4 linked regions of the Struthio camelus genome follow. The protein of the gene in region 1 binds, or shares a complex with, the protein of each later gene. Links are inferred from orthologs where the notes say so. Each region holds a gene or a part of one and is shown on either strand. Other genes may lie near its edges. The genes, in order: DHX16, SNRPD3, CRIPT and SF3B5.

Evidence for each region.
Region 2: DHX16 (region 1) and SNRPD3 share a complex: the UniProt entries of both Homo sapiens proteins name them as parts of the minor spliceosome. The link is inferred for Struthio camelus from reciprocal best matches to the Homo sapiens genes DHX16 and SNRPD3.
Region 3: DHX16 (region 1) and CRIPT share a complex: the UniProt entries of both Homo sapiens proteins name them as parts of the minor spliceosome. The link is inferred for Struthio camelus from reciprocal best matches to the Homo sapiens genes DHX16 and CRIPT.
Region 4: DHX16 (region 1) and SF3B5 share a complex: the UniProt entries of both Homo sapiens proteins name them as parts of the minor spliceosome. The link is inferred for Struthio camelus from reciprocal best matches to the Homo sapiens genes DHX16 and SF3B5.

Annotation. Positions count from the first base shown.
Region 1 is NC_090977.1:685,536-693,324, reverse strand, and holds the start of DHX16 (pre-mRNA-splicing factor ATP-dependent RNA helicase DHX16), read right to left. Parts: upstream 3,006-7,789; 5' UTR 2,975-3,005; coding exon 2,765-2,974; intron 1,709-2,764; coding exon 1,443-1,708; intron 833-1,442; coding exon 679-832; intron 1-678. Other genes in the region: PPP1R18 (phostensin), read right to left, coding at 4,528-4,547, 5,414-5,615. UniProt on the Homo sapiens protein: Required for pre-mRNA splicing as a component of the spliceosome. Contributes to pre-mRNA splicing after spliceosome formation and prior to the first transesterification reaction.
Region 2 is NC_090958.1:8,969,193-8,976,051, reverse strand, and holds the start of SNRPD3 (small nuclear ribonucleoprotein Sm D3), read right to left. Parts: upstream 3,011-6,859; 5' UTR 2,871-3,010; intron 2,356-2,870; 5' UTR 2,332-2,355; coding exon 2,206-2,331; intron 1,016-2,205; coding exon 823-1,015; intron 1-822. Other genes in the region: protein GUCD1, read left to right, coding at 3,378-3,414, 5,057-5,141, 6,575-6,740. UniProt on the Homo sapiens protein: Plays a role in pre-mRNA splicing as a core component of the spliceosomal U1, U2, U4 and U5 small nuclear ribonucleoproteins (snRNPs), the building blocks of the spliceosome.
Region 3 is NC_090944.1:108,650,845-108,658,795, reverse strand, and holds the start of CRIPT (cysteine-rich PDZ-binding protein), read left to right. Parts: upstream 1-4,943; 5' UTR 4,944-5,058; coding exon 5,059-5,074; intron 5,075-5,258; coding exon 5,259-5,324; intron 5,325-5,736; coding exon 5,737-5,791; intron 5,792-6,448; coding exon 6,449-6,552; intron 6,553-7,951. Other genes in the region: PIGF (phosphatidylinositol-glycan biosynthesis class F protein), read right to left, coding at 1,514-1,630, 2,456-2,547, 4,203-4,453, 4,837-4,900. UniProt on the Homo sapiens protein: As a component of the minor spliceosome, involved in the splicing of U12-type introns in pre-mRNAs. Involved in the cytoskeletal anchoring of DLG4 in excitatory synapses.
Region 4 is NC_090944.1:84,749,040-84,755,007, reverse strand, and holds SF3B5 (splicing factor 3B subunit 5), read right to left. Parts: upstream 1,498-5,968; 5' UTR 1,260-1,497; coding exon 999-1,259; 3' UTR 522-998; downstream 1-521. UniProt on the Homo sapiens protein: Component of the 17S U2 SnRNP complex of the spliceosome, a large ribonucleoprotein complex that removes introns from transcribed pre-mRNAs.

The sequences.
Region 1 (7,789 bases):
CCAAATCCCCACCAGGGATGCCTAATCCCACCCAAGGACTCCCAAATCCCATCCAGGGACCTCCAGGAGCCAGGCAGGGACACCAAATCCCAGCTGGGGACCCCCAGGAGTCCACCAAGGACCCCAGATCGTACATAGGTCTTCCCCAGTCCAATCCAAAGACCCCCAGGAGCCCAGCAGAGACTCCAGATCCCATCCGCAACCCTCATACCCCACCCAAAGACCTCCAGGAGCCAGATAGGGCCTCCAAACCCCATCCAGGGCCCCCAGATCCCATCCAGAAGCCTTCAAGAACCTGGTGAGGACCTCAAATCCCACCCAAGGCCCCCAAATCCCAACCAGAGCCCCCAGATCCCATCCCGGAGCCTCTAGGAACCTGGCAAGGACCTCAAATCCCAACCAGGTCTCTCAAAACCCAACCAAATCCCCCAAATCCCATCCAAGAGCCTCCAGGAACCTGGTAAGGACCTCAAATCCCACCCAGGTCCCTCAAACCCCACCCAAGGACCCCAAATCCCATTCAGGAAACTCCCCACAAACCTGGCAAGGACTCCCAATCCCCCCAGGGACCCAAAATCCTCCACCAGGGACATCAAATCCTCCCCAAGAGACCCCCAACGTTCCCCACTAACGATGCCAATCCACCCCCAGGACCCCCCAAAAAACCCCGCCGGGCACCTTGGCGTCGGGGCGGGCGAGGACGGTGCGCGTGCGGTCGCGGTCGCGGCGGCGCAGGCGCTCGGCGAAGGCGTCGCGCTCCTCCAGGTCCCGCAGGCGCTCCCGCTCCGACGCCTCCCATTCGGCCTCCGGCTCCTCGGGGGGCTCCGGCGGCCTGCAGTGAGGTGGGGGGGGGGACCCCGAAAAAAACGGTGGAGGAGAGACCCCAAAGCGTGGTGGCGTGCAAAAATAAGGGAGAGCCCCCAAAATAAGAGAAGGGTGAGGGGCTGAGAAATTGGGGGCTGCTGGGACACGGGTGGGAGGGGGCTGTGAGAGTCTGGGGGGGGCCAAAATCAAACAGGGGACCCCAAAAAATGTAGGGGACCCCAAGAGCGAGGTGGGATGCCCAAAACTGGTGGGGGGGGGTCTTGAAAGCCAGGGGCAACCCCAAGGGCGAGAGGGGGGACCCTGAGAGCTGGAGGAAGCCCAAGGGTGAGGGGAGGGGGACCCCAAAACTTGGGGAGGGTCCTGAGAGCAGTGGGAGCACCCCAGTGGGGGGGGGGGGTCCCTGAAATTGGGTGGGGGGGAGCCAAAAAATGAGGGAGGACCCCAAGGATCAGGGGAGCTCCCAAAAATCAGGGGCCCCCAAGAGCCAGGGGGACCCCAAGAGCCAGGGGGACCCCCCCAAGAGCTGGGGGGGGGACTGTGAAATGGGTGATACCCCCCCAAAAGGGTCCGGGGGGGTGGGGGGTCCCCAAAAATGGGGGGAAGGGAGGGCTACTCACGGCGGCGGCGGCGGGGACGGGCTGGCCGACTCCGGGGAGTCGGGGCGGCGGCGGCGGAGGTGGCGGCGGCGGCGGTTTGGGGGGGACGGCGGGGCGGGGCCGGGTGAGGGGGCGGGGCCGGGGCCATGGCCGCCGCCCCGCTGGTCCTTGTCCTCGTCCTCGTCGTCGCTCTCGAGGAGCCGGTAGCCCTGGTTGCGGCGCTGCAGCTCCCGGGCCGCCCGCTCGGCCGCTCGGCCCGGCGGCTCCGGCCGCGGCTCCCGGGGCACCTGGAAGAGAAGAGGGGGCGGGGCGAGGTTAAGCCACACCCCTTTGCCTTGGCCCCGCCCCCAGCTTGGCCTGGCCCCGCCCCCCTCCCTGCCTTCACCCCCTTCCCCTCGGTCCCGCCCGGCCGCCGCTTTGGCCCAATCCACTCCCCCCCCTCTAGCTCCTCCCACCCCTGACATGCCACACCCCCTCCCCTTGCTGGCCCCGCCCCTTCCCGGGGGGGCCCGCCTCCCTCCCCAGGGAGCTGGGTGCTGCAAGCCCCGCCTCCTCTCTTCCCATTGGCTCCCACCTCTGCCAGCTCGGCCCCCTCCCCTTCATTCTGGCCCCACCCCCTCCCTTCTCATTGGCTCCTCCAGTGCCAGCACTGCCCCCATCCTGGCCCCGCCCCCTCCCTTCTCATTGGCTCCTCCAGTGCCAGCACTGCCCCCATCCTGGCACCACCCCCCCTCTTTTCTCATTGGTTCCTCTAGTGTCAGTCCCGCCCCCTCCTAATCCTGGCCCCGCCCCCTCCCTTCTCATTGGCTCCTCCAGTGCCAGTAGTGCCCCTCACCCTGGCCCCACCCCCCTGTTTTCTCATTGGCTCCCTGATGACAGCCCCACCCCCTCCCATCCTGACCCCACCCCCTCTCACATCCTGGCCCCGCCTCCCTCTTTTCTCATTGGCTCCCTGATGACAGCCCCCACCCCTTCCCCATCTTGGCCCCACCCCCGTTTTCTCATTGGCTCCCTGATGACAGCCCCCGCCCCTCCCACCCTGACCCCCACCCCCTCTCACATCCTGGCCCCGCCCCCCTGTTTTCTCATTGGCTCCCTGATGACAGCCCCCGCCCCCTCCCATCCTGAGCCCACCCCCTCTCCCATTCTGGCCCCGCCCTCTTTTCTCATTGGCTCCCTGATGACAGCCCCCGCCCCCTCCCCATCTTGGCCCCGCCCCCTCACCAATCCTGACTCCGCCCCCTCCCCGGGGGGAGGAGCCGAGCGCCACCAGCCCCGCCCTCCCTCTTCTCATTGGCTCCCGCCTTGCATCAGCCCCGCCCCCTCGTGGAGGCCCCGCCCACCTTCTCCCACAGCTGCCGGGCGAAAGCGCGCACGCGCGGCTCCTCCACGCGCAGCGCCTCGGTCTCGCGCAGGCGCTCGAGCAGCTCGTCGAGGCTGCGGCTGCGCCGCGCCAGCGCCACCAGGAAGGCGGGTACGTGGCGGGCGCTGAGGCCCAGCAGCGCCTGCAGCTCCGCCGCCACCCAGCGCTCCAGCCCCGCCGCCGCCGCCATGGCCCCCGCCGGCCGCCGTACGCCGCCTCGCCCCGCCTCCCGCCGCGCTCTGCGCAGGCGCAGTCCGCCGCCCCGCCTCCCGCCGCGCTCTGCGCAGGCGCCGCCTCCCTCAGCCCCGCCTCCCGCCGCGCTCTGCGCAGGCGCCGCCTCCCTCAGCTCCGCCTCCCGCCTCGCTCTGCGCAGGCGCCGCCCCTCTCAGCCCGCCTCCCGCCGCCTCCCCTCAGTACCGCCCCCCCCAACCTCAGGCCGCCGTAATGTCCCGTGTAGCCGCGCCGCTCCCCCCCCCCCCCAACCCCGGCGTTCCCCGCGGCCGTTTCTCACCTCCCGCCTCTTTATCCCCCCTCCCAACGCTCCCCAGCTCGGGACCCCCCCCGCCCCTTCCCGCCAAACACACACGCACGCTCCGCCAGCTCGCTATTGGGCTGCACGCCCACACGGGGATTTACGGGACGGCGGCCATTTTCCTCCCCCGCGGCCCCCCCCCCCAAACCCGCTCGCACCGGCTCACGCAGTGCAGGTCGCCATTTTGTTTTATTGTCGCTCTTCCCGTTACAGCGCGTCAAAGTCGGCGGCCCCGCCCCGGTCGCCATGGCGACGGGACACGCCGAGGGCTGCGTCGCCATGGCGACGAGACAAGCCCAGGGCTGTGTCACCATGGCGACGTGACAAGCCCAGGACTCTGTTGTCAGGGTGACAGGACAGGCCCAGGGCTGCGTTGCAATGGCGACGGGAGCAGGCCCAGGGCTGCGTCTCCATGGCAACAAGAACAGGCCCAGGGCTGCGTCGCCACGGTGACAAGACAGGCCCAGGGCTGCGTCACCACGGTGACAAGACAGGCCCAGGGCTGCGTCGCCATGGCGATGACAGAGGCCCAGGGCTGCGTCGCCATGGCAACAGGAGCAGGCCCAGGGCTGCGTTGCCACGGTGACAAGACAGGCCCAGGGCTGCGTCGCCATGGCGACAGGAGCAGGCCCAGGGCTGCGGCCTAGGCCTCCTCCCCGCTGTCATGGCCGCCGGCCCCACGCCCGGCCCCACTCTCCTCTGCTGCCCCCGACAGGAAGTCCCGCCTCTCCACCCCCACAGCCCCGCCCACAGATCCCGAAGCCCCGCCCCCTGCCTTTAGCCCCACCCCCCAGCTAATACTGCCTTGGCTGTGCGCCCCCCCCCCCCGCCAAAACCCAGCTGCAACTGGACCCATCCCAGTTCCTAACTGGGACAGCTGCCGGCGGCCCAATACTGACAAATTTGACCCCCCCCCCAGCTAAAAAAACAAAAAAAAATCCTTAATTAGGTAAAAAAAAACCTCGTTAAGGAACATCCCCCCCCAGCTGCTAGAAAAAGCTACAAAATGGGGGGGGGGGGTAAAGCTGTGCCCCCCCCCACACCCAAACACCCCCCCCGCTCCAGGGACCAGGGTGGGGGGGGGAACAGCGTCCTCGTGCCCCCCCCCGCTGCCGCCCCCCCCCGTCCTGCCCCACCGGGGGGGGGGTGGGTCACGGTTCGGGTCCGGCCCCCACTTCGCCGGGGGGGTCCCAGCCCCCCCAGCCCCCGGGTTACCGCCGGCAGGACTCGTCTGGTGGGGGGGGAAACGGGGGGGGGTGTCAGGACCCTGGCGGCCAAGACCCCCCTGCACCCATGCTCTGTCCCCCACCCAACCCCTATTGCCCCCCCAGGACCCCTACTGTTCCTCCCAGGACCCCTATTGCCCCCCCAAGGCCCTTATTGTCCCTCCAAGGCCCCTATTCCCCCCCCAGGACCCCAATTGCCCCTACCCGGACCCCTATCGCCCCCCCCCAAGGCCCTTATTACCCCCCTCAGGACCCCTATTCCCCCCCAGGGCCCCCATTGCCCCCCACAAGGCCCTTATTGCCCCCCCAGACCGCTATTCCCCCCCCCAAGACCCCAATTGCCCCTACCCGGACCCCTATTGCCCCTCCAAGGCCCTTATTGCCCCCCCAGGATCCCTATTGCCCCCCATAAGGCCCTTATTGCCCCCTCCAAGCCCTTACTGCCACCCCAAGGACCCCTATTGCCCCCCCAGGACCCCCATTGCCCCCCACAAGGCCCTTATTGCCCCCCAGGACCCCTATCACCCTCTCCAAGGCCCTTATTATCCCCTCAAGGACCCCTATTCTCCCCCCCAGGACCCCAATTGCCCCTACCTGGACCCCTATTGCCCCCCCAAGGCCGTTATTGCCCCCCCCCAGGACCCCTATTGCCCCCCATTAGGCCCTTATTCCCCCTCCAGGACCCCAATTGCCCCTACTCAGACCCCTATTGCCCCCCCAAGGCCCTTATTGCCCCCCCAGGACCCCTATTGCCCCCCATAAGGCCCCTATTGCCCCCCCAGGACCTCTACTCCCCCCCCCCAGGACCCATGGGTCCACCCCCCCCCCACCCGGGGGGACCCAGGTGTCCGGGGTGGGGGGAACCACTCACCGACGAGCAGGGTGCGGGCGCGCAGCCCCCCAGGCAGCCCGCGGCCCGGGGGGGGCTCGTCGTCCTCGTCGTCGTCGTCGGGTGCCGGGGGGGGGCCCGGGGCGGGCGGCTCCTCGGGGGGCCCCCAGGCCGCCATGGCCGCCCCCTCCGAGGGGTAGCAGAAGGTGCGCTCCAGCTCCCGCTCGCTGAACCAGATCTTCAGCTGCCCGGGGTGGGGGGGAACATGGGGGGGGTGACGTGGGGGTGGGGGCACCGCGGGCGGGGGGACATCATGGGGGGTGGCATGGGGAGACCCCGGGCACAGGGACACTGTGGGGACATCTCGGGGGGTGGCATGTGGACATCATGGGCATGGAGGCACCATGGGGACATCTCAGGGGGTGGCATGGGGACACCATGGGGACATCTCCAGGGGGTGGCATGGGGACACCATGGGCATGGAGACACCATGGGGACATCTCCAGGGGGTGGCATGGGGACACCATGGGGACATCTCCAGGGGGTGGCATGGGGACACCATGGGCATGGAAACACCTTGGGGACATCTCAGGGGACACCATGGGGACACCCTGGGGATGGGGACATCCTAGGGATGGAGACACCATGGGGACGAGACACTATGGGGATGGAGGCACCGTGGGGACATCTTGAGGGTGGCATGGGGACACCCTGGGGATGGAGACACCATGGGGACGAGACACTATGGGGATGGAGGCACCGTGGGGACATCTTGAGGGTGGCATGGGGACACCCTGGGGATGGAGACACCATGGGGACAAGACACTATGGGGATGGAGACACTGTGGGGACATCTTGAGGGTGGCATGGGGACACCCTGGGGATGGAGACACCATGGGGACAAGACACTATGGGGATGGAGGCACTGTGGGGACATCTTGAGGGTGGCATGGGGACACCCTGGGCACAGAGACACCATGGGGATGGGGGGGGGACACACCGGGCACAGGGACACCATGGGGACACCCTGGGGATGGAGACACCATGGGGGCATCTTGGGGGTGGCATGAGGACCCCCCAGGCACGGGGACGCTGCCGGCAAGGTGACAACGTGATGCCCCCAGTGTCCCCCCCCCCATCCCGGACCACGGCCTGGGGTTCCCATAGCAATTAATCCACCTCCCTGGCTTAATCGCAATTAACGGGAGCCTATTAACGAGCGGGGGAGGGGGTCACGCGGCCCCGACGAGTGCAGGGTGGTGGGGGAGGGGCGGGGAAGCAGGGGGCCCAGGCGTCCGGGCAGCCCCGCCCACCCCCCCCCGCAGGAACCGCTTCCTGCCCCCCTTCCCCCCCCAAGTTCCTGTTTTCGGGGCACCCCAGAGGATTCTGGGTGCTATGGGGGGGGAGCAGGGTGCCCCCCCCCTCACCCCGCTCCACCCGCCCCACGGCTGCAGAGGGGCCCAGGCGTCCGGCCCCAACCCCCCCCCCCCCCAACTCCACTCCAACCACCCGGCTGCGGCGTGGGGCGAGGGGCCCAGGCGTCCGGGCCGGGTAACGGCCACCAGCTTCCTCCGGGCGGGCGGGAGCCGGGAACGGAAGCGGCGGCGAGGGCCCAGGCGTCCGGGTGCCCAACCTCCCCCCTCCCCGGCCCTGCTCTCACCCCCCCCCTTCAAGCTGAGGGGACCCAGGCATCTGGGGGTGGGACGGGGGGGGGAAGGGATGGTGGAAAGGGATGGGGACAAGGATGGGGGTCCAGAAGGTGACGGGGTCGAGGGATGAGGTCCAGGAGGTGACAGGGGACAAGGGACAAGGATGGGGGTCCAGGAAGTGAGGACGAGGGATGAGGTCCAGCAGGTGACAGGGGACAAGGATGGGGGTCCAGCAGGTGAGGACGAGGGATGAGGTCCAGCAGGTGACAGGGGATGAGGGATGAGGTCCAGGAGGTGACAGGGGACAAGGATGGGGGTCCAGGAGGTGACAGGGTCGAGGGATGAGGTCCAGGAGGTGACAGGGGACAAGGGACAAGGATGGGGGTCCAGGAGGTGAGGACGAGGGATGAGGTCCAGCAGGTGACAGGGGACAAGGATGGGGGTCCAGCAGGTGAGGACGAGGGATGAGGTCCAGCAGGTGACAGGGGATGAGGGATGAGGTCCAGGAGGTGACAGGGGACAAAGATGGGGGTCCAGGAGGTGATGGGGTTGAGGGATGAGGTCCAGGAGGTGACAGGGGACAAGGGACAAGGATTGGGGTCCAGGAGGTGAGGACGAGGGATGAGGTCCAGCAGGTGACAGGGGATGAGGGATGAGGTCCAGGAGGTGACAGGGGACGAGGGGACAAGGATTGGGGTCCAGGAGGTGAGGACGAGGGATGAGGTCCAGCAGGTGACAGGGGATGAGGGATGAGGTCCAGGAGGTGACA
Region 2 (6,859 bases), on another chromosome or scaffold:
GAAGGTGATTTACCACAAAAAAAAAAAAAAAAGCGTTCTGTGAGAAGAACCAGGACGAATTGTTACACAGTCTTGCACTTGAAACACAGTATATACAGAGATGAGAATGAACTATTAATACATTCTGTGTTCATTCCAATCTGACGCACAAATCTCTACCACAGGAGATTTCTATCATGGTAGAGTTGCTGTGCCAGAGATTTCACTGATGTTTAAAACCTCACACTAAGATTTTGCAACAGAACTCAATATGTTCCAGCAGGTGTTACTCCCCCACGCACACTCACTACACTTGCTAAAGTTAACGAAGGACTTTGCAGCCCACGAGTATTACTCAAACTTGTTATAACTACACTGCTCACATAAGAGAAGTGCTAATGAGGGAGAACTGTAGAGTGGCTAGTAGTTACAACTTCCCAAGTATTATCTTAATATCTGAATCATTTTTTCCACAAAAGCTTAAGAAGAACACTTAGCTCCTTTTCCAAGTGGTCCAAACAGCCAGTGACCACATTCACTGAAAAACACCAAAATGAAGATGAATGTAAAGCCTCAGTATAACTCTACCAGGACTACTTGCTACGTGTAAATTATCTTCACATATCAGTATTGCTCATTTTGATAATTGGGAAATTTGAGTCTTGACACCCACTGAAGAAAAAATACATAGGAGGAAAAAAAACCCCAACAATATATGAACCACTAATCATTCTGCTTATGTTGTTTGTTTCCTCAATGATATAGGTGAACATTTTCCTGTTCCTCCATAGCAAAACGCTAAAGGCAAGGAAGGAGGGAGGTCCACAAACAAGGAGTACCCACCTTGAGCTTTGAGAATAGCTGCTTTTCCTCGCCCAGCACCAGAACCCTGGTTTTTATTCTTCATGCTCTTTAACATAGGAGCATTCTTCAACATATCTGGTAAAATGAGAAACCGTATCTTGCTACCTCTGATGTACACCTGTTCAAGCTGTGCCACTCGTCCATCTCTGTACGTCACTGTTATGTTGGACATCTGGAAGGTAAAAGATCAGTCAGTGCTTACAGAGGCCTCCAACACAATTCAGTATTCCCGTTTCTCTTGCTTTCACTATTCTGACTCAGACTCCTCCGAGTAAAAACTATCTGGGTCAAGTACTAGTCGTTTCAACAGAAAGCCTTTCTAGGTCCGTTTTGAGATTTTTAGAGCCAATGGAAGCTTTTCAGAAGTTGCAGCAAGTTGACAGGCTTGCATCAGCAGAATACCAACTACGCAGGCACAAAAAAAACCAAAAGCACATTAACCATGATTATTCTAATAAAAAAGACACTACTGTACATGCAATTTTTATCTCACTTGTGTTTGTATGCTTCTTTGTTACACAATCAGAGTAAGTTACATCTGATTTTCTTTGGCTAATCACAATATACAGTATGCAACTGATTTAGAGGAATACACATAAGCAAAATACAGCAACAGAGCAGAAAAATTGCATAGTTTACTTACAAAACAGTGCAAACAAACACAGAGCCAAGATTCAAGTACCAAAGCCAAGAACCTTCCAAGTACTGTCATCTTGACTGGCATTGTGACACAAGGTATCCAGGACCTTTCGCACATAATGCTAAGCCTATTAGTCAAGCAGGCCCAGCGTTTTTATCTTCACCCCAGTATGAGCCAGAACAAACTCTTAGAAAAACACAACTCAGTTCTGTTTTCTCACATTAAGTCACTTTTAAAAAAGCTTTACTTGTTCAAATAAAAATGCTTCCTTAATACTTAAGACAACATGATTTCTATCCAAAGTCAACCAAAATTAAGCCCGCTTGGGATGCCTGAAGTCATGTGCATTAAAAAAAACACAAAAAACCCCTTCAGTTTCCTCAAATAAGGGTTTGTTTAATCTTAAGCCCAGAGCAATAAAATGAAAGACTCCAGTAGAAACACTGTCCATAGAACAAAGTCTTAAAAAACCCTAATGCTATTGACAAGACTTCCCAGGCCTGCTTTAAACCCTAAAAGAACAAACTCTGCGCTCTTTAGAGCATTCAGCAATCCTGAGTCCACTTCACTACAACGTAGGCATGCAGCAGCAGGGTTTTTTTTTTTTTTAATCCTTAGACTAAAAATAATAGTCTTTAAATCAAAACACAAATAAGCTAGCTATCAACCTTTCCTGGCACAGACGAGACAGCCTCCCTTCCCTCCACCAGAGGCAGCTATACCTGACAGTTCATGTTGTCTTCAGCTTCGATAAGCTTGCCCCGATAGACTTCTCCTGTGTTGGTCTCACATGTGACGATGTGGCCTTCCGCCTCGTGCAGGACTTTGATGGGCACGCCGATCGACATGTCTGCAGAGCTGCGGCTCTACCCCTGGGACAAGGAAAAGCAAAGGAAACGGTCTTTGAAATTAGGTTCTCCCTACATTACCTATGATCTTTTCAAGCGTAAGAAACGGGGGGGGGGGGGGGGGAAGGGGGGTTCCCCCTTGCCCAGAAACACCACAAGTTTTGATGAAACGTTAACAAAGCTCCTCTAGAAAGAGGGCTATGGGAAAAAAAAAAATCACTTAAATATCAGTGGAAGTGGCTGCCTACGGGTTCCCTGCTAGGAAAGGGAAAGGAAACCCGCTCCCCAGCTGGAGGACACCGAACCGCCGGCGCAGGCAGGGGCGGCGGCGGCACCGGGGCCGCTCGCAAGCGCGGCCCGGCGGCAGCAGCGCGGCAGCCGGGCCGGGCCGGGCCCACGGGTCCCGCGCCAGGGCAGCGGGCACTACCACGAGGGGGGAAGGAGGCGGCCCGGGCCCGGACGGCGCCCCGGGCCCGCGGCCTCGTCGCCAGCCATAGCCAAGAGGCCCCGGGGCCGGCCCGGCGCCCACCACCACTCACCGCCCGCAACCGCCTCAAGCCGGGCCCGCGCGCAGCCCCTAATGGCCTCCTCCAGCTTCCCGCCGTGCCCCGCGCGCCGGAAGCGGAAAGCGGCGCTCGCCGGGAGGCTCCTCCCCGTCCCGTCCGGCCCGCCCCGCCCCGCCCCGCCCCGGCAGGGCAGGCGGCGCCTCCGGCGCGCGGGGCCGGCCGGGCCGCGGCGCCCCGGCACGACGGTTCCGCCGCCGCCCGCGCCCGCAGAGGGGCCGCCGCCGCCGCGGGCGCTGCCCGCCCGGCGAGCCGCGCCGAGCCGCGCCGCGCCATGCCCCCGCCGCCCGGCCGCAGCCGGCCCCGCCGCGGCGAGGGCGCGGCGCCCCGGGGCCCGGCCCCCCGCCCCCGCAGCCCCCGCCCCCGGCGCCGGGGCCGGGCGGAGCCAGCGCGGCGCCGAGGCACGGCGGGCCCCTGGGCCGGGCCGGCTCGGCGGGGCCGGCAGCGAGCGGGCGGGCGGCGGGTGCCGCCGCCGTCGCCGCCATGAAGAGCCCGCGGGAGGCCGGGGAGCCGCTGCCAGGTCAGTGCGCCCCTGCTGCCCCGAGGCCCGGCCGCCCCCCGCGCCCACCCCGGCCCCGGCGGGGCGCTGAGCGCGGGCGGCGGAGCGGGAGCGGGAGCGGGAGCCGGGGCCTCGCGCGCTGGCGGCGGCGCTGGCGGGGCGGCCGGAGGCGCGGAGCCGGCGGGGCGGCCGCGGGCGGGGGCGCGGGCGGCCGCCTCGGGGCAGCGGGGAGGCCCCGCCGGGAGAGGCCGCGGGGCCGGGAGCTGGACACCCGGGAGAACTGGAAAAGCACGAGCCGTTGTCGGTCTGTGAAGTCATCAGGCAGAAAACAGCGTTACTTCTTAAATTAACCTGGGGAGCTGGCAGAGGCCCTAGGTAGGAACGAAGAGGGAACTGACTCATGACACGCCGGGAAGAACCAACAATAAAGATTTAAAGAGGGTAGTCCGAGGAGGATCTGGGACTTTTTGTTTTCCCTTTAGGAGACTTACGTAAGAGCACCTTAATCTAGATTAACAAAGACAACTGAATATACCAGCAGGTATACCTGGTCTTCGAAGTCACGATTAAACACGGGCACAACTACGAAAAAATATTTTTGAAGAGTCCAAAATATCTATATTGGCTTGTGCCTACTGTAGGCTATAGCTTTGTTAGGAAATAATACAAAATTATTGTTACGAATGACATTACTTATAAAGTTTTACAAATAAAATTTTATCAAAACTAGACCAGTCCACATGATGTGGAATGCATTTTTATCTTCATGCCGAAGTGTAGTTGACCTTGTGTTAACAGCTTTCAAAGGTCTTTTCTAGTCAAAAGTGAAGGGATTGAGAAAAGCCCTTTAAGACTAGCTTACTCTGATTAAGGTTGAAATAACAGTAACACCTGCAAAAACACTAAGTCATTCAAATTCAAACGATAATGGGTCTTCTGAGACTGAAACCATCACACTTGCCCCAAGCCTATAAAAATGAAAAATGAGGAAGAAAGATGGAATTATGGACTTTCCAGTAGAGATTTTTCTTCTTTCTTTTTCTGAAACCTTGAGAGAATATAACACGAAAGGCCAACTAGTGTCATTTGTAAGGTTCGGTAACTTAAAATTACTCACATAAATTATAGTCCCTGAGGAAAAAAGACACATCTGTAGAAAAGGCTCAGCTCTGTGGGGCTTGTGAGAGAGAGGTGGCTGGAGGAGATCTTTGTTGTGTCTGTTTTATCACAGTCTGGCTGAACACCTTTTGTGGCACAGAAGTACATTCAGAGACTGTTTTGGACACATGACAAAGGATGAATAGCTGTGCCTTATCTACTGCTAGTTAGGAGGGGATACAGCTTTGTAACTAGGGGCTGGTGGATGTGTCACCACCACAAAAAAGAATAAAATACTGCACAGTGATCCAAATATGTAACAATAATATGACATTAAACCAGACACGTGAGGGTTAACTCTACAGAAATACCAAACAAACCTACATCCCCTTAGGAAAAAGGACCTGCCAATCAGGTAAAATAAAAAATGTTCCTAAGTTTCCCCCACTATAGTGCTGAGTGTACCTGCAAGACAGCAAATTGGCTTTGAATGCTGAGGTACGGAAAAACATGTATATGCGGGTTGACATCCTCCATGTTTTACTAAGTGTTGTTTTCACTGCAGTTGACTGCATCCAGTTGAAAGTGCCAGTCATCCAGCAGCTGTACCACTGGGACTGTGGGCTAGCCTGCTCCAGGATGGTACTACAGTAAGTAACTTTTTTGGCTTCAAGGGGTTGGAAATCCCATCCCATGGGAAGTCGGAAATCAATGTCCAGGGAGAAAGGATATGTGGAAGCAGCTGTGAATTTAACTTCAGTATCGTGAGAGCATATAGTCTCAAGTACCTTTGGAGGATTACTGCTGCCAGGGTCTAGCACAGCTCTCCAGCAAGAGCAAGGGAAAATACAAACTAGGACAAATTTTAAGACTTTTTAAATGATTAACTGCTTTGATTGATGCAAAATATCTGACTAGCACTAAGATCTTTGCAGGTTAGCATGCTTAAGCTAGTAAAAGTTATCCCTCTTTTCTGTTATAATTTGGAACTAGCTTTTACCACAGCAATTCTCTTACTTCCATTCTGCGTGTTTTCAAGTGGCTGGTAGGTTTATCCCGTATTTATGAATATATATTGCCCCTGTCCTGTTGAGCCCCCACTCTGTAGGGTGAAGGGTTTCTGTTCCAGGAGTAGTTTCAACTTCAAGGCTATGCACTGTATTGCCCTTTTTTTTTTTTTTTTCTTTAAACTAGTAGCTGTCCTGCTGAACTCCTCTTTCCTTCCACAGAGGAACATGAGCTTAGGTGCAGGAGAAATACCTATTTAGATGTCCACTTAGTAGATATGAAGCAGAAGATTTTCATTTCTCTCCATCCCTACTGCCAAGACGTTAGTCCGTGTGCTGGTAATTTCCCATCTTGACTACTGTAACCTCTGCCTCTTCATTCCCTTTACCCTCGTTGCCATTCCAGTCTGCCCAAAACTCAGCTTTCAAGATTAATCTTCTTACCCTGCTGATCTGACCTTGTTTGCCCTGCTTCCTCAGTTCCAGTCTTTTTCTTTTTTGCATTTATTTCCATCTGTTTTCTGACTTCCAGAATTCTCTGTAACTGCCTCTCCCTAGCCCTTTTGCAACCTGACCTAAGCTTCCTCCTAACCTTATCTGCCCTTTGCACCATCAGTGCCTAAGAAAATTCCTTTGACTATTTATCAACTGCCTTTACAGTTCCTACTTTTGAAATCCACCTGTTCTGTGAAGCAAGTTTTAGTCTTTAACGCTCCTGTGCTTGCTGTTATGTTGCTATGTATATTCAGACTGTAACCCCTTCAGAATAGAGTTCTGCCCTTGCTCACTATAGCTTACCTATTGTACAGCATCCTGTATACTTTTAGCACTATAAAACAATTGAGATACCTGTACATTTCCAATAAAAAAGTCAACAATAAAGCCAGTTAAATATTCCTTATTCCCTTCCCTTCCTTTAATTTTGGGCTCATTTGTGGGTTGCTTTTTGGTTATTTCTTAGCCAGTCCCGTTGTTTCAGTTCTTCCGTCCTGTGATGTGGAGTCTTGGGCTACTGCGCACACTTTGCTTCTCCTAAGATCTGTGTTTCCCTTCCCCTACCTTTTCTAATACCCTAGGTACCTGAATCATTTGGACAATGATGAATTTCAGAAAGCGATCCAGGAACTCCGGTTAACAAAGAGTATCTGGACCATTGACCTGGCTTACCTTATGCGACACTTTGGTGTTAAGCATAAATTTTGCACCCAGACACTTGGCGTGGACAAGGGCTACAAAAACCAGGTTAGCATTCCTATTCACTGGGAAACAGCACGCAGTGTTAAAAGTGAGCCCTGTGTATCATGCTATAAAAGCTTTGCTGTGTTACTGAGCATTAACCACAGTTGCTGTAAACCAGATTT
Region 3 (7,951 bases), on another chromosome or scaffold:
CCTCTACCTCATTCATACTGTCAAATGAAAAACTATAAAATTATTTTTTAAAAGAGCTGTTTGCTACAACGCATAAAAAAACCTACAGCATTTATTTCTAGTCTATTTTCATGCAGACACTAGTCTAAGTAAACACCATTATACTAAATAAGCATTTTATTTGGATAACACTACATAGCTCTCTAGGAAATACGTGCAAGCTGTCACAGCAAAAATGTCAAAACAAGACAACTTCTACTTTCTATGCCATAATTACATTGAAGTAACACTAAGATTCAGACTAGGAAAGAAATAAATTGACATGTATTCAAAATCTAACTGGGCACAAAGGGACACTGCTGTCAAACATTTGTTACTTATTTCCAGATGCAAAATTCCAGACAGGACTAAGTGAATCAATAAGAATTTCTTTTGGCTAAAAGACTCAATGTCGTAATTAAATTCTTACAAGGTGTCACTTCTGTTACTCTATTCACTCCTTAAACTGAAAATAAAAAACTAGCATAACTGACTTGAGCGAGCACTCAACACATTTTTCCGTAAGCTGAAAACTGATATACTACCAAGGCCAACACATTAAGCTATTATAAAAAGACTATTTTTGGCCTTCTTTATACAAGTTGAAATCCGAAGTAACTCCTTAGGTCAGCAGGATTTTACAACTTTTTACTTTCATTGAGATTAGATTTCACTCTTGGGACACATTACAACGACACTAATACTAACATCATATTATTAGAACCTCAAGCAAACGCGGGGCTTTTTTTATGTTTCAGAGTCCCAGTGTTTCAACAGTCCTGTTATCTCTGCTGCCTTTTTTCACCCATTAGATAGAATACTTCTGAAAAATGCATTATCCTTGATATGTGCCTATATTATGGCTTTCACCAACTAAAAAAGGCTCATTTTACTTTAAACATACTCTTAAAAAAAAAAATGCTAGAAAATTGACACCGAAAACAGCTTTTTCAGAAATTTGAAAAAGAGTATGGATAAGGATTACATGCTTAAGACCGCAGAAAATTACATATTATTTTTACAATTATATTCAGGTTAAAGATAACACCAGAATAATGTTTGTTTTGTCTTGCTATTTCTACTTTAAAAGCTGCGCTTATGAGGATACTCTCAGATCATGTGCAGTCATGCTCCCTTCAGCGTTTACTCACAGATCTCTTCTGTATTTGACAGTTATCATACTAGCATGCACAACGGTTTGACAACAGTCAAATAGCGCATTTGAAGGTTTTTGTCTTTCAAATGCAAATAAAGAAAGATTTAAACTCTGGCCACCAGAAATAAAAAGCCAGTTTTTTAAATCAGTTACACCTTCAAAATAGATAATAGTTTTCTTTGCCAGAAAAACTTTCACAAGCCCTTAATTATGAAAGTGAAAATGACCCATAATTCAGGATGTTTTATTTGCTTTACAAGAAACTCCATGATATATTGTTTATGACAACTCTATTTCTATTATGGGAAAAAAATGGAGAAAATTTAAAGTAGAACTTACCCATTTTTACTAAATACCCGTATCCATGCTTGAATGTTTGGTCCCAGCACACACAAGCATTGTAAAGTAGTAAAAGTAGATAGCAGAACTGCAAACAAAAATGTCTCAGTCACTGACCTACAAAGAAGGAACACAATAAAATTAACTGAGGCACAATTGGTGATTTTCTAAGAGTTCCAAGAACTAGGAAAAAAACTCAAAATCATCTAGAAAGCATGCATTTTTCTTAAATTCATGTAAAGAAAAAAAAAGTTTTTCTTCTTACTCTGTAGAAGAGAAAAGAAAGATGGAAAGAATTCTAACATCCATTCGTTACCTCAACAAAATCTGAAATGTAGCAGCTTATTTTAAATGTCCGATACCTGTAACATTTTAACAAATACAGCGATATCTTACACAGAAGGTTACTACTTTCTAACTGAAGTACACTTGGATATTTACTTTATCATTCCATTTATCTTTCTAGTTTGACTTAGTGGAAGCAACCATGAAACCAAGCCACATGATGTCACCGCTATTCAGTAATTTAGCGCCTCTCAAAAATCAGTTAGGAGAGATGTGAGGCAGCCTTTTGGGTTTTTTTTTGTTTTTTTTTTTTTTTCCAAACCACCCTTAACAATTAAAATACTAATATGAAAAGGATGAAAGCTATAGGAGATGCACGTTTCAGAAACTTAATGGAAAAATGACTAAATGAAACATGGAAAATGTTTGCAACCATATATATGACATACAAGTATAAAATATGTCTATATTTGTACATCTCCAAATATATAGAAATTTTAAGGGCTAGCTTCTACGAAAAATAGCCACTCTTCGCCCAGCCAGGAGGTTATCCTTTAACTCCCAATGTACCAGGAAATACTCAAGTACTTATACCAATATCTGCAAGAAGAACTGCCACTTAAAGAGTTTAGAGGAAAAAAGGTTCTTCCGACTTACTCTATGAGAGGTGCTCCATAAAGAACAATAATCGCATGAAATAGTATGCAAGACATGAAAAAGTACATACAGCATTTTAGAAATCTGGATATCTAAAAAAGAGCAATAACATATCAGAATAATGTTTCAAAAGAAAAGAGAACAATGAGCAATGTATATAGTCAATATCTTATCAGTAGCATCTCACTGTACCCACTTCCTTAGATATTTAATTTCAACTATAGCACAGTATGATTATACGCTCCTGTATTTCCAGACCGCTTTCCCTATGTTTAATACTTCAAATCATTAATTAAAAAACATAACATGAACACACTCCAATCTAAAAATCTTTTCATATATCATACTATTATACAAACATACAAAAAATAACTGGAAATAACAAGATAAATGGAAAAAGTTCTAGGGCATGTTTTTATGTTTACGTGTTACATTTCAGCATTATACCCATTTGTTAAAAAGCATCTTTCGCAGAACGTGCAAAAATATTTAGGAAGATGCAATATACATACATGATATTCAGAATGAAATATAGTATTTAAAACTACATGACATAAAACGTATTGCATTTTGAAACTGCCATCTTAAAATCTAAATCCATTTGAGAAACATCCATGACCTTCTAAACCTACAAAACGCATATAGTTTTCTATGAATCAAAGCAACAGTTTCTGGGTACCCACTATTATATCAAAATAGAGCCACTTGATAAAGTGTCACAGTTTCACCTGAACACTTTTTTTTTTTTTTGGGGGGGGGGGGGAGGGAGGGAAGGGAGAGATATTCCTGTGCTAGTTGGGATGAAACCTCACCTAAAACTTGAAGCCTGCTTTGTTTTTTAAATTATATATGGTTAAAATGCTTGTTTTCCATGATTTAGTGGATTTCATGCCCTGCTCTGTCAGTAAAAGTAGATAGAAGTTTCATAGGAAAAGTTACTGCTTTCAAGGATGTTTAGCTTGCACAACTATTTAAGAACGACCGTTTAAGAGCATTAAATTTTGTCTGACTCAGCAAGTTGGGAGGACAAGACTATCCAGCTGACTTGTGAATGCCTTTCTATTCCACCACTCCCAGGGAAGTTGGGTGCCGCTCCAAATTTGCTCTGTTCAGAGGTATTTTCTTGGAATTCATATCTTTAATGCTTCTGTTACAAATGTTAACTATAAAAATTTATCACAGATTTAAATTCTTCTGTGTGCAGATGTATTCGTTCAAGGAAAGGTAGTCACTTCAGTGCTTTTCCACCTCATCTTCTAAAATCTACCAACTTAGTTTAAAATTTAATGAGCTCTTTGTTTTCTTTTTCATCAGTCAAAAGTTTAAGAAAAGTTTTTCTTCCTTTAGAATTATTAGTAACTTCTAACTACTCAGAAGAAAAGTGTCTTTTCATAACACTGGGATTCAGGCCCAGATTATGAAATGAGTTCTGTACCCATTCAGGGATTCGCCCTGATTTTTGCCAGCAGGTAAGCTCTTGGAGGATCAAGGACGCCACAGTATACAAGCCACAGTATACTGACACGAAAAGGCAAGGAATCACTCACCTGAACAGACTATTTACAGGTAGAGAAAATTTAACACTGTGAAAATATCAGAAAACTTACTTCTCAGCTCATTCATGGAAAACAAGATTTCACCACCTAAAATTGTAACTTGCTTTCTCTTTCACGCTTGACTATTTCAGTAAAAGAATTCAACCTCCCATCAGTACTGCCTGGTAGCAATTTAAGAATAAAAATCTTACCTTGTGAGCAAATGAACTTCTCTTAGGAGACAGATTTGGTTTAAGGATTAAATATAAGATTATATTAAGGGCACTAATGGAAACAGAACAAACGCACAGCCAGGTGAGGTGCGTTCCCAAAACCGAGAAGTTGTCCAGGAAGAAGGCTGGGACGGTTGTTGTTAGAATAACTGAAAAAACACAGAGCAGGTTGGCAGCTAGGAGCCTCTTTATTTCTGCTTCTTTCATTGTGTTCTCTGTTAACCAGTCACCTGCAAGAAAGCAAGCTGTGCTTAGTTACTGAAAGACAGCCAGAAGCACTAGCCAGCAGTATTTTTCCCTAGCTGAAACACACAAGGCAAAACTCTGAACTTAGTTTGGGGCCGAAGAGGATTACTTTGTGGCAGAAGTTTCATTCGTTCATTTAAAAAAAAAAAGGGGGGGGGGGAACACGCAGCAATGCTGTCCTTCAACAGGCTGCCCACATTCAAAAGCTGGGCGGGCTGCGGGCTCGCCCGCCCCGGGCACCCCTCCTGCGCGGCCCGAAGCGGCACGTCTCAGGCCACGGCTCCCGCAGCAGCAGCCGCCCCCAGCTCTCCCCCGCGGGCCGCCCCGCCGCCCCGCGCCGGACCGGGCCGGGCCTGGGCCGCCTCACCCCGCCGCGCTCGGCAGCCGCGAGCCCAACGGTCGGGGGGGGGGAGGGGAAGGAGAGAAGACATGGGAGCCCGTTGGGGCGGCCCTAGGGAGCCGAGGAGCGCGAGCCGCGCCCGCTCTTACCGGCGCGTCGCCCCGCCGCGGCGCAACGGAAGACCCGGCGGGCGCGTCACGTCCGGGGGGCGGGGCCGGAAGCGGCCGTTTGTTGTGGTCGGGGTCCGCCATGGTGTGCGAGAAGTGTGAGCGGGGCCGGGGCCGGGGCCGGGGCCGGGGCCGGGGCCGGGGCCGGGGCCGGGGGGGGTCACTCGGTCGGTCGGTGGGTCGCGGGGCGGTGGCTGGGCCGCCGGCAGGCGGGGCTGGTTGCCGGCGTTAACGCAAACCAACTTGAGCTTTTTCCCTCCGCGCGCGTGTTTCCTCACGTAGGCGAGAAAAAACTGGGCACGGTAATTACTCCTGATACGTGGAAGGATGGCGCAAGGAACACCACAGGTACTTCTGCTTTCCGGGGGGCTTTAACGCTTCTCGTTCAGATGTCTTAAAGCCCCTTGGGCACCTGTATCGTCGTTCAATTCTAAGGCTGAGGATTGTAATAGCTGTTCTGTTGGGTTTGTTTTTAACTGTTGTAGTTTCCTTAGCGTGCTAATTCCATCCTCTGGGCGTTTACTTGCCCTGAACTTTTCAGGGCTGGATCTGTCTGGGTTCTCCCCCGACCCATGTGGAGTGACGATACCCAAGCAGAAGATAATGTAAGGGGTTCTGTCGTCCTGTGCTTTAGTCCTGTGTTATACGCTGTGCTTTTCTTTCTGATTTCATTTACAGAAGTGTAAAACTTCTAAGCTAAGCTTTTTCCCAAACCTGATCGAAACTGGGAAATCTACCATCTTTATTTTTCTTTCTGTAGAAAGTGGGGGCCGAAAACTGAATGAAAACAAGGCTTTGACTTCAAAGAAGGCAAGGTTAGTATTTAATCCTGATTTTGATTGTCTAAAAAGGTCATTTTCCTGTAACCAGGACCTGTTTCCTGCACAACTGGGCAGCTTCTCAAACCATGTCCAAAATGGACTTTGTTTTTAAAATTCTTAATGGGGGTTGCGGCATGCTATTAGTTGGTAACAGTATGTTTGTACATATTTCATGGGTGCTTTCTGCTGAATCAAAAATATATTTCAGTGCTCACTAAAACTGAGTGTTAAGTTTGATATTCGTATTAGAAGAGAAGCTGGAAAGACGTACTCTCTTGCTAAGACCACCTGTACGGTCTCTTCAGCGTATTTAATATTTGCAGGCCCTTTTATTACCTTCTGCAAGGTTTATTTTATCCTCTGTAGAGAGGGCAAGCCATTGCTGGAAGACATTTAGTTCAAAATAGTCTAGCATCTTAATGAAAAGGCACGTTGTGTTTTCATAATGCAGGAAACCTCTCTTTGTAAGGTAGCGAGGGGTCTTTCTGTAGACTTTGAGTGCAACCTGTTTGAAACAATCTTTGTATGTCCCTTTTCTAAATCATAGTTTCTGTTTGTGGTCTCTGGCTTAGACTTTTTAGGATGAGGTAGCGGAACTACTTTACTTCGTGGTGTATAAATACAGTATATTTCCTTTCTCTCTTTCCTCAGGTTTGATCCTTATGGAAAGAACAAATTTGCAATATGTCGGATTTGTAAGAGTTCTGTCCATCAGCCAGGGTCTCACTACTGTCAAGGATGTGCCTATAAAAAAGGTGAGATTCACTGGATACTGAGTTAGCCCAGTTTGGTTTGAAAGTAGTGAGCAAACGCAACTCAGGGTTTGTTTGGCCTTACAATGAGAAGGCTAAGGGGAGATCTAATTGCTATCTCCAGCTACTAATGGGAGGGTGTAGAGAAGTTGAAGGTAGCTTTTCTCTGAGGTGCACAGTGATAGAATAAGAGACAGTGGACAGAAGTGAGAATGGAGGAGATTTAAATGAAACATAAGGAAAAAACTTTCACTGTGAGGGTGGTCAGATATTGCAACATGGACTCAGGTTGTTTTCTACAAAAGTAGAAAACCTGGGAAATAAAAGGCAAAGAGACAAACAGATGCTGTTGTAAAAAGAGCTAATAAAGTGCCTTTCAAGGCAAACGGGCTTCTTGCATTGTGAGAGAAGCTTGGCTTAAGTTGCAACTGAAAATCAAAAAGTAAGAATAAAACCTTTATGTTTAGAAAGCAAGATATTGCCCAGTGTAGTATATAACATACAAAATCTTTCTGTACTTCTAAATCATGTATGAACAGCTGCACTGAAATTCTGCTTCTGTCTTGAGGTTTTCAGTCTCCTGTATTCACAACAAGCCTTTAGGGTTGTTGAAAATTGTTTTTTGTTTTCTCAATGAACTGTTGAACAATTTCAAGCAACTGTGAGGTAAAAGTTGAGCCTTAAGGATATACAACTTTTACCAGTCTTGTGAATTTGAGTAGGTAAGCAAAATGGAGGCCTAAGCTTGTAATTGCCTGAGGAAAAAGCAGCAGCATATGAACTCAGTTATATTACTAATTTTGGAAAATCCACACAGCACAGACATGGGCTAAACCAATTGTTAGCTGTAGAGGCACATCTAGTCGGTATGAGTTTAAATGTTGTTTATGAAATGACATTAATTCTTTCACAACTGGGCGGCGCGTCAGTGGTTTAGCAGCCTGCCGTAGAGCTGCTATTTTTTCTGTTTTCTGGGTGCTCACCAGGTGGCTGCCAGAATCCCACATGAGGGAACCTTATGCTTTCTTAAATTTATAGTTGATTTGGGTGAGCTTGAGGACTTTTTTGTCTGCTCGTGTACCTTTCCAGGTAGAAATGGATTTCTTCATAAAAGACGGAGCTTCAGCTGCTTTAAGTTCTAGCTCTGACCATCAAAGAGAATGGATATGGCATGTTTCTTGAAACAGGTGTGGTCGTATGGATTAGTGCTTCAGTTGCTGCGCGTCTCTGAAAGCTAGAGACTATTCAATGTTCCAAAGTTAACTACGCCTCTACTTAGACCTGGGGTGAACAGCCTGTGGGATGGATTTTGCACTCTAGAGTAAATCATGTGGTATTTTCCCTGCTGTTGTCTGTCCTAATAGACTCTTAGATGAGTGTCCAGTATCATGATGTCAATATA
Region 4 (5,968 bases), on another chromosome or scaffold:
CAAAATGGTTTAGTTTGTCCCTGGCCTCATCACCTAGTCCATGTTTACAGGGCTCAGCATCCACATTCACACACTTGATTAGTGTACTCTTAAGAGAAGTTTTTAGCACTAGAGGCCTAGATAGCATTAGTAAAAAAGCAACAGTAATTTGGAACAGAGATATTCAAGATTTGGAAAATTCAAAGCACAGATGAGAAGATAATGTAAAAAAGTTATTTAAAGCAAAGACATTTTGGAGTTTTAGGGCACTGGAGCAATCATCTTATGTTGTGCAACAAATCACTCTAAATAATAAATGCTAATTACAAGTCAAGCCTTTTGAGTGCCAGCAAGCTTCCCCCAACCCTCCCTAAAACTGTTTTGGTAAGCAGGTATCAGCCAACTAGGCTGAGGAAAATGCTACCTTTAGAATATCTAAAACTTAGATTAAGAAAGGTTGCATGGAAATATTTAACATATCAATAAGCACTGCCTTTCAAACAAGAGATCTAATTCTAATCAGCATATTAGCAGACGAAACATTAAAAATGCCCAGTACGTTTTAATTCCACATTAAAAAAAAAAAGTTATACAATTAAGAGAAATGAAGCTGTCCAAAAGTAGACATGTTACAAAAGCGGTCCCTGTGAAAGTCCTTTGATGCAACATAATAAGGACACAAAAGGACCACGAGCACTGAAGGACAGGAGACCCATGCGTTCCCCACTGCACTGAGAGGCGGTTACAGGAGCAGCTCCTACGGTCTCTCTCCACAGGAGCAATCACAGTTCAGCGGTGCCGGCCTCGTTCTCATAGTTCACAGGCAAGAGATTTCAGCGGAGTCTTGCTCGGAGACCTACCGCACCCCGCAAAAAGGGAAGGGCCTTCACGCACCTCCCGCTCGCTCCGGCGAAGGCGCACCCACCGCGCGGTGCCTCGGGGCCTCCGCCGACCCCGCTCCCCTCCTCCCCGGGGCCAGGCGGCGGCCGACCCCAGGGCAGGGAGCCTGGTGGGGCGGGTTAAGACTCGTCGGGCTTGTCGGCAGGCGGCCCGCAGGGCTGCAGCATCTTCTCCATGAGGTTGAAGCGCACGCGCGCCTTGCTCTCGTTCTCGGCGATGGCGAAGTAGTTGAGCAGGTCGAAGTGGCCCATGTAGGAGCAGTACGAGTCCCGGTGCTGGTTCACCAGCCACTCCCACTTCGTGGTGTCGGCATGGCCCGTCCCGATGTACTTGGACTGCAGGTGCTCCAGCTGGCTGTGGATGGTGTAACGGTCCGTCATGGCGGCACCGGCGGCAAGAACGCAGCGAGCCCCGAGCCTCCCCGCAGCGCGAAATGGCGAGCGGAAGTGACGTTCCCTCGCGCCCTTTACCCCTTCCGCTCTCCCTCACTACAGGAGAAAAGCTACTTTTTTAGCTTACTCTTTGAGTCTCAAGCGTTCATTTCTTACTCTAGCGTTTGCTTTAAGCAGGGGGGGGGAAAAAAAAAACCCTCCAGCTAGCTATTTACTTTCGTGCCGCGGGGCATGATGGGAGGGCGCCTACCGACGGAAGGAAGTGCGCGTGCGCACGCCCGCCAAGGCATGCTGGGAGCTGTAGTGCGCCGGGTCCCCGCCCGCACGGGGCGGCGGCAGCGGGGCGGGCCCGGCGGCGGGGCGGGGCGGGGCGGAGCCCGGCGCGGCCCGGCGGCCCTCGGAGGCGGCGGAGCGGCGCCTGCGGCAGTGCGGTGGTTTCCCAGCGGGCTGGCTGCACGGGCTGATAACCCCTCCGGGCAGTAGTGAATGAATATCGCGTGCATTTGGGCGTCAATACTGCGTCAGATACGTGCAGAAATTCGAGCGGTAAAGTTGCTTTCGTAGCGGAAGCATTTAAATAAGGGAGGAAAAGGAGAGGGTTTTGCAGAGCTTCTTAGTTTACTCCCTGGAATCTAAATTAAGCAGCAGAAGGCAAGGCAAGCCCTGAGGTGGTGAGGGAGTTAAAAAGTCTCCTAAAGTTATCTGAAATCCATCGAGCCATTAGCTACCTGGTGTAATAGCGTATCACTTAAAGGGAATGACTGAAGCCTCAAATTTCAACAAATGTTCGGTTAGGTAGATTCCTTGAAGAATTCTAGTCAAAGCTGGGATAAATTTTAGCCTCTGAAATAATTAAATATTAATACACTGTGTAATGAAATCATTTACTGCTGTTTTAATTACTTTAATTGAATAATCTAGTAGTAAGCCAAATTATAGAGCTCCAGGCCAAGATCTGTAATACATCAGTGTTTGGAAAATACATGCTTGAGGATCTCCTATTCTCAAGCCAGATACCAGGCTGCGTAGCTTTGATATTGTAGTTATTCCTTAGTTCACCTATCGGAGAATCAGATAAGCAAAACTCTATAAAATCTGACTATAAAATATCTCAGTAATAGGTTTTTGGGAACAAAACTAGAAAGTCTTTATTTGTCAGGAGACTTTAGGAAACAGGAAAGCAAAACCAGTGAAGTGGTTCTTAAAGCTAGTGCTGTAGGGCACAGTTTCTCTCTGTAAAATTGCATCTCTTTTTTGCTTTCTAAGCAAGTGATACAGGAAGACTGACTTGGAAGAGACAAGCTACAACAAAAATAGCCATGAGGAGCCAAGAGCAAGCCAAAACTCTCTTTTTCATTAGCTCTTTACTCAATTAAAACATAGCACAGCACTTTTTGTGGTAGGTCTCATGTAGGGACTCCATATAGAGAAAGACTTTTAAAAATGCACAGAATTTGAGGGTCCTCCCAAAATAAGTGTTTGGTAAGGTTAGTTCTGTTACATGAACTGAGAAAAACTACTATAGGTTTCACACCATTTTCTTGGCGCAGTGCAGAGTTCTTGCCTAGTTCTTCCCAGGTAGGCTTTGCAGCTGAGCAGGGTCGAGGGTAGATTCAAGCCAAAATTACGTGCTGCTGTTGAACAAGATTTTTGTGACAGCACAGGTAATACTTTAATATTCACTTCACAAGCAGATGTAAAAATACAGAAATTACAAATGGTATTGTCTATCTTAGTCAAACTACAGCTTGAAATAAATATTATCCATCAAAAGCAGTTTTTCTTCTCCATCTCTCTTAAAGCGTTCACATAATGTTAAATTTGAAATGTCTGAAATTATATATGCTTTCATATGATAGTAATAGTTATAATTACTTGTCTTAAGATAGGAAAGGCACGTTGTCAGAAATTTTCCAATAGGGCAGGCTATTTTGTGATCTGTTCCTTCCTGCCCTTGTAGGCACCTTTACACCTGCCAGTTGGATTTCAAAGGAAATCCAAAGAAATGTTTTATGAAAACCTAGACGATTCAAAACCCTGTATTTAAAATTGAGCACCATATGAAATGAAGGACACAGCAGTCTCAAAGCAATATCCTAAAGTGTAAGGGAGTGCAAAGATCTAAATGAGGACTATAAATTTCTTTACTAGGATCTGCTGAGTTATTGTTCTCAAGGCTTACTTAGCAGGAAGCAGTTTTACACACGTGGAAACAGCAATAGTATTCTGTAGTTGCCTCCAGAGAGACCAAGAGAAAAAAAAAATCTCCTGCAGGAAAATGCAGAGGCATTTCAGATTTGGGAGCTTGACAACATTAGGACAAACTTTACTTGATTTCCAGATTTTACAGATCAAAGTGCATCACGGAGGTAACTCACTGAAGTAACAGAGAATAAGAAGTGAGGTATGCATTTAGAGGCTAGCACACAGCAGGGCTGAGAGGAAGCAAATTGGTTTAATTTTCCTGAAGAAAAACTGAGGTTAAGCAAATGAAAGAATTCTGTGGAAAGCGCAGTAAGCACTTAAGATACCAACAGAACTAGAGAGACTGAACCATTCAGATACTCATCAAGACTTCAGAGAGATGATGTAATATACATGAGAAAAGAATTACATTTAGAGGTAGCAGAATCACAGAATCACAGAATCGTTGAGGTTGGAAGGGACCTCTGGAGATCATCTAGTCCAACCTCCCTGCTCAGGCAGGGACCTCTAGAGCATATTGCCCAGGATCACATCCAGACGGGTTTTGAATATCTCCAGGGAAGGAGACTCCACTACCTAAGAGGAGCAGATAGCTCCTCTTTCAGAAGTCTGCTCCAAACTTTCAAATATTTGAAAGTCTCCAGTTTCATCAAAAAATGTTTATTTTTTTAACATGATTTTGTGGTTTACAACTTGTTTTAAAATGTCTTCATTCTCATTACAGCCTCAACCTTAATCCTACAAGTACTGCAGTTTAAAACACTGCAGTTTAATACACAGAGACTGTGTATGTGGTTATGGAGGGTGAATAGGGATGATCTTTGTCAGGCAAAAGCAAAATGTTGTTTTATTTTGCTAGAATAAACTACTTTGGAATGTTTGAGAGAAACCTGTTTTGTAGTGAAGGGATGTGCCAGATGCTGAGGGAAGGACAGAGAAGGACATTTTCTGGCTATAGGAAAGCTTTCATTTCTTTGTAAAATGGTACCTTTATAAAGAGCAGGGCTGTATTGGGGCACTAACTTTTGATAGGTATTCAGGGACAACACAATGACACGTAGGGCTGATCTCAGAGTTCCTTTCCGATTGCCATCTTTGATGCTCTAAGCTGGGAGATTTATTGATTAAAATCATCAGTCAGTCTTCAGAATAGAAAAGATGCCCGGAAGCATGTCCATTTCTTGCAGCTACTGCAGGAGTTTGTAAAAGTAATAGTTAAACTAAACCAAGCAAACGTTAGAATTCTAGTTCAAAACAAACATCCGAAAAGGGAAGTTTCGTCCTGAAGTTTGCAGCAAGATTGATAGTGGGCCAGACCAGAACACTGAATTCAGACATTTAGAACCCTGGGAAAAAGTGGGCAAAAACTACATAGTACGTTGGCTTTGTTCAAAAACACATTGGAAAACAGGACAAGCTAGCCAACACTAGGAAGAAAGAATAGATAATAAAATTACTAGTTAACAGGCAAGTTAAAATTCTATATAAGCAGTTGCCTAAATGTAAGTTTCATGTGAAAAATACAGAGTTTCAGCTCCTGGTTTTGAAGGATTGCATTAAATTATACTCAGTTAATCTTCATTTCTTCTTCCACCGAAAAATAAAATCTATTGTAAGGCTATGGTTTTCTTGTTAGGCAGATCCTGTGCAAAGCAGATTGCTGGAGCTAGGTACTTACATTTTTACGATCAGAAGCTTAGAAAATTACAGGGCCGAGTAGGGGGATATATGTATGTATGCATGCATGCATAGATGTAGAGGGATATAGAGAGAATTATCACTGAGATGTAACCAGCGTGTGTGCTTAATATTTCTCAATAATTTAGTATTCTAGGATATTTCAAGTTTTTTCTACTGAATATTATCAAATATAATTATCAAAATATTGTGTATTTGTCTTGGTCTCTGAAGTCATTATATGTTGATAAATAATTAGTGTCTGAAACAACTGATGTTTACATATGGAAATTTCATAAATGTATTTACTTACATGCTGAAATACTCTATCTGGAAATGAAAGCCAAATCATTTCAAACCAAGCGTCAAATGCTCGGGAAAACAGGAGATTGGATGCATGCAATGAATAGCAGTTGCCACTGGATGTCAGAATTGGACCCTGCATGAACTCAATTACCTCTAAAACGTTAGTGCTTGGCTGCTACTGCAAAGTTAAGGGAAATAGTGGTGAGGCAGCTGAACCAACAAAGTGAGTGATGGTGACTGTCCACTTCAAGATATACCTGAGTTTTTAAATTTTGCCCTAGTCTTTCTGTAGTAGGCATGAATAACACCCTGTTTCTTCAATAGACCGCATTATTCACACTTAGGCATAAATACCACAAAACAAGGGAATGGAATAATTTTCATATATAAATGCAACATACACACAGAATGTGTGTGATAAGATGGAGATGAGAAGGTGGAGAAGAGGGGGATGTCATTTTTTTCAGAAATTCCTCTATTCTTTGCTATATTTATTTATCTTACAAAAA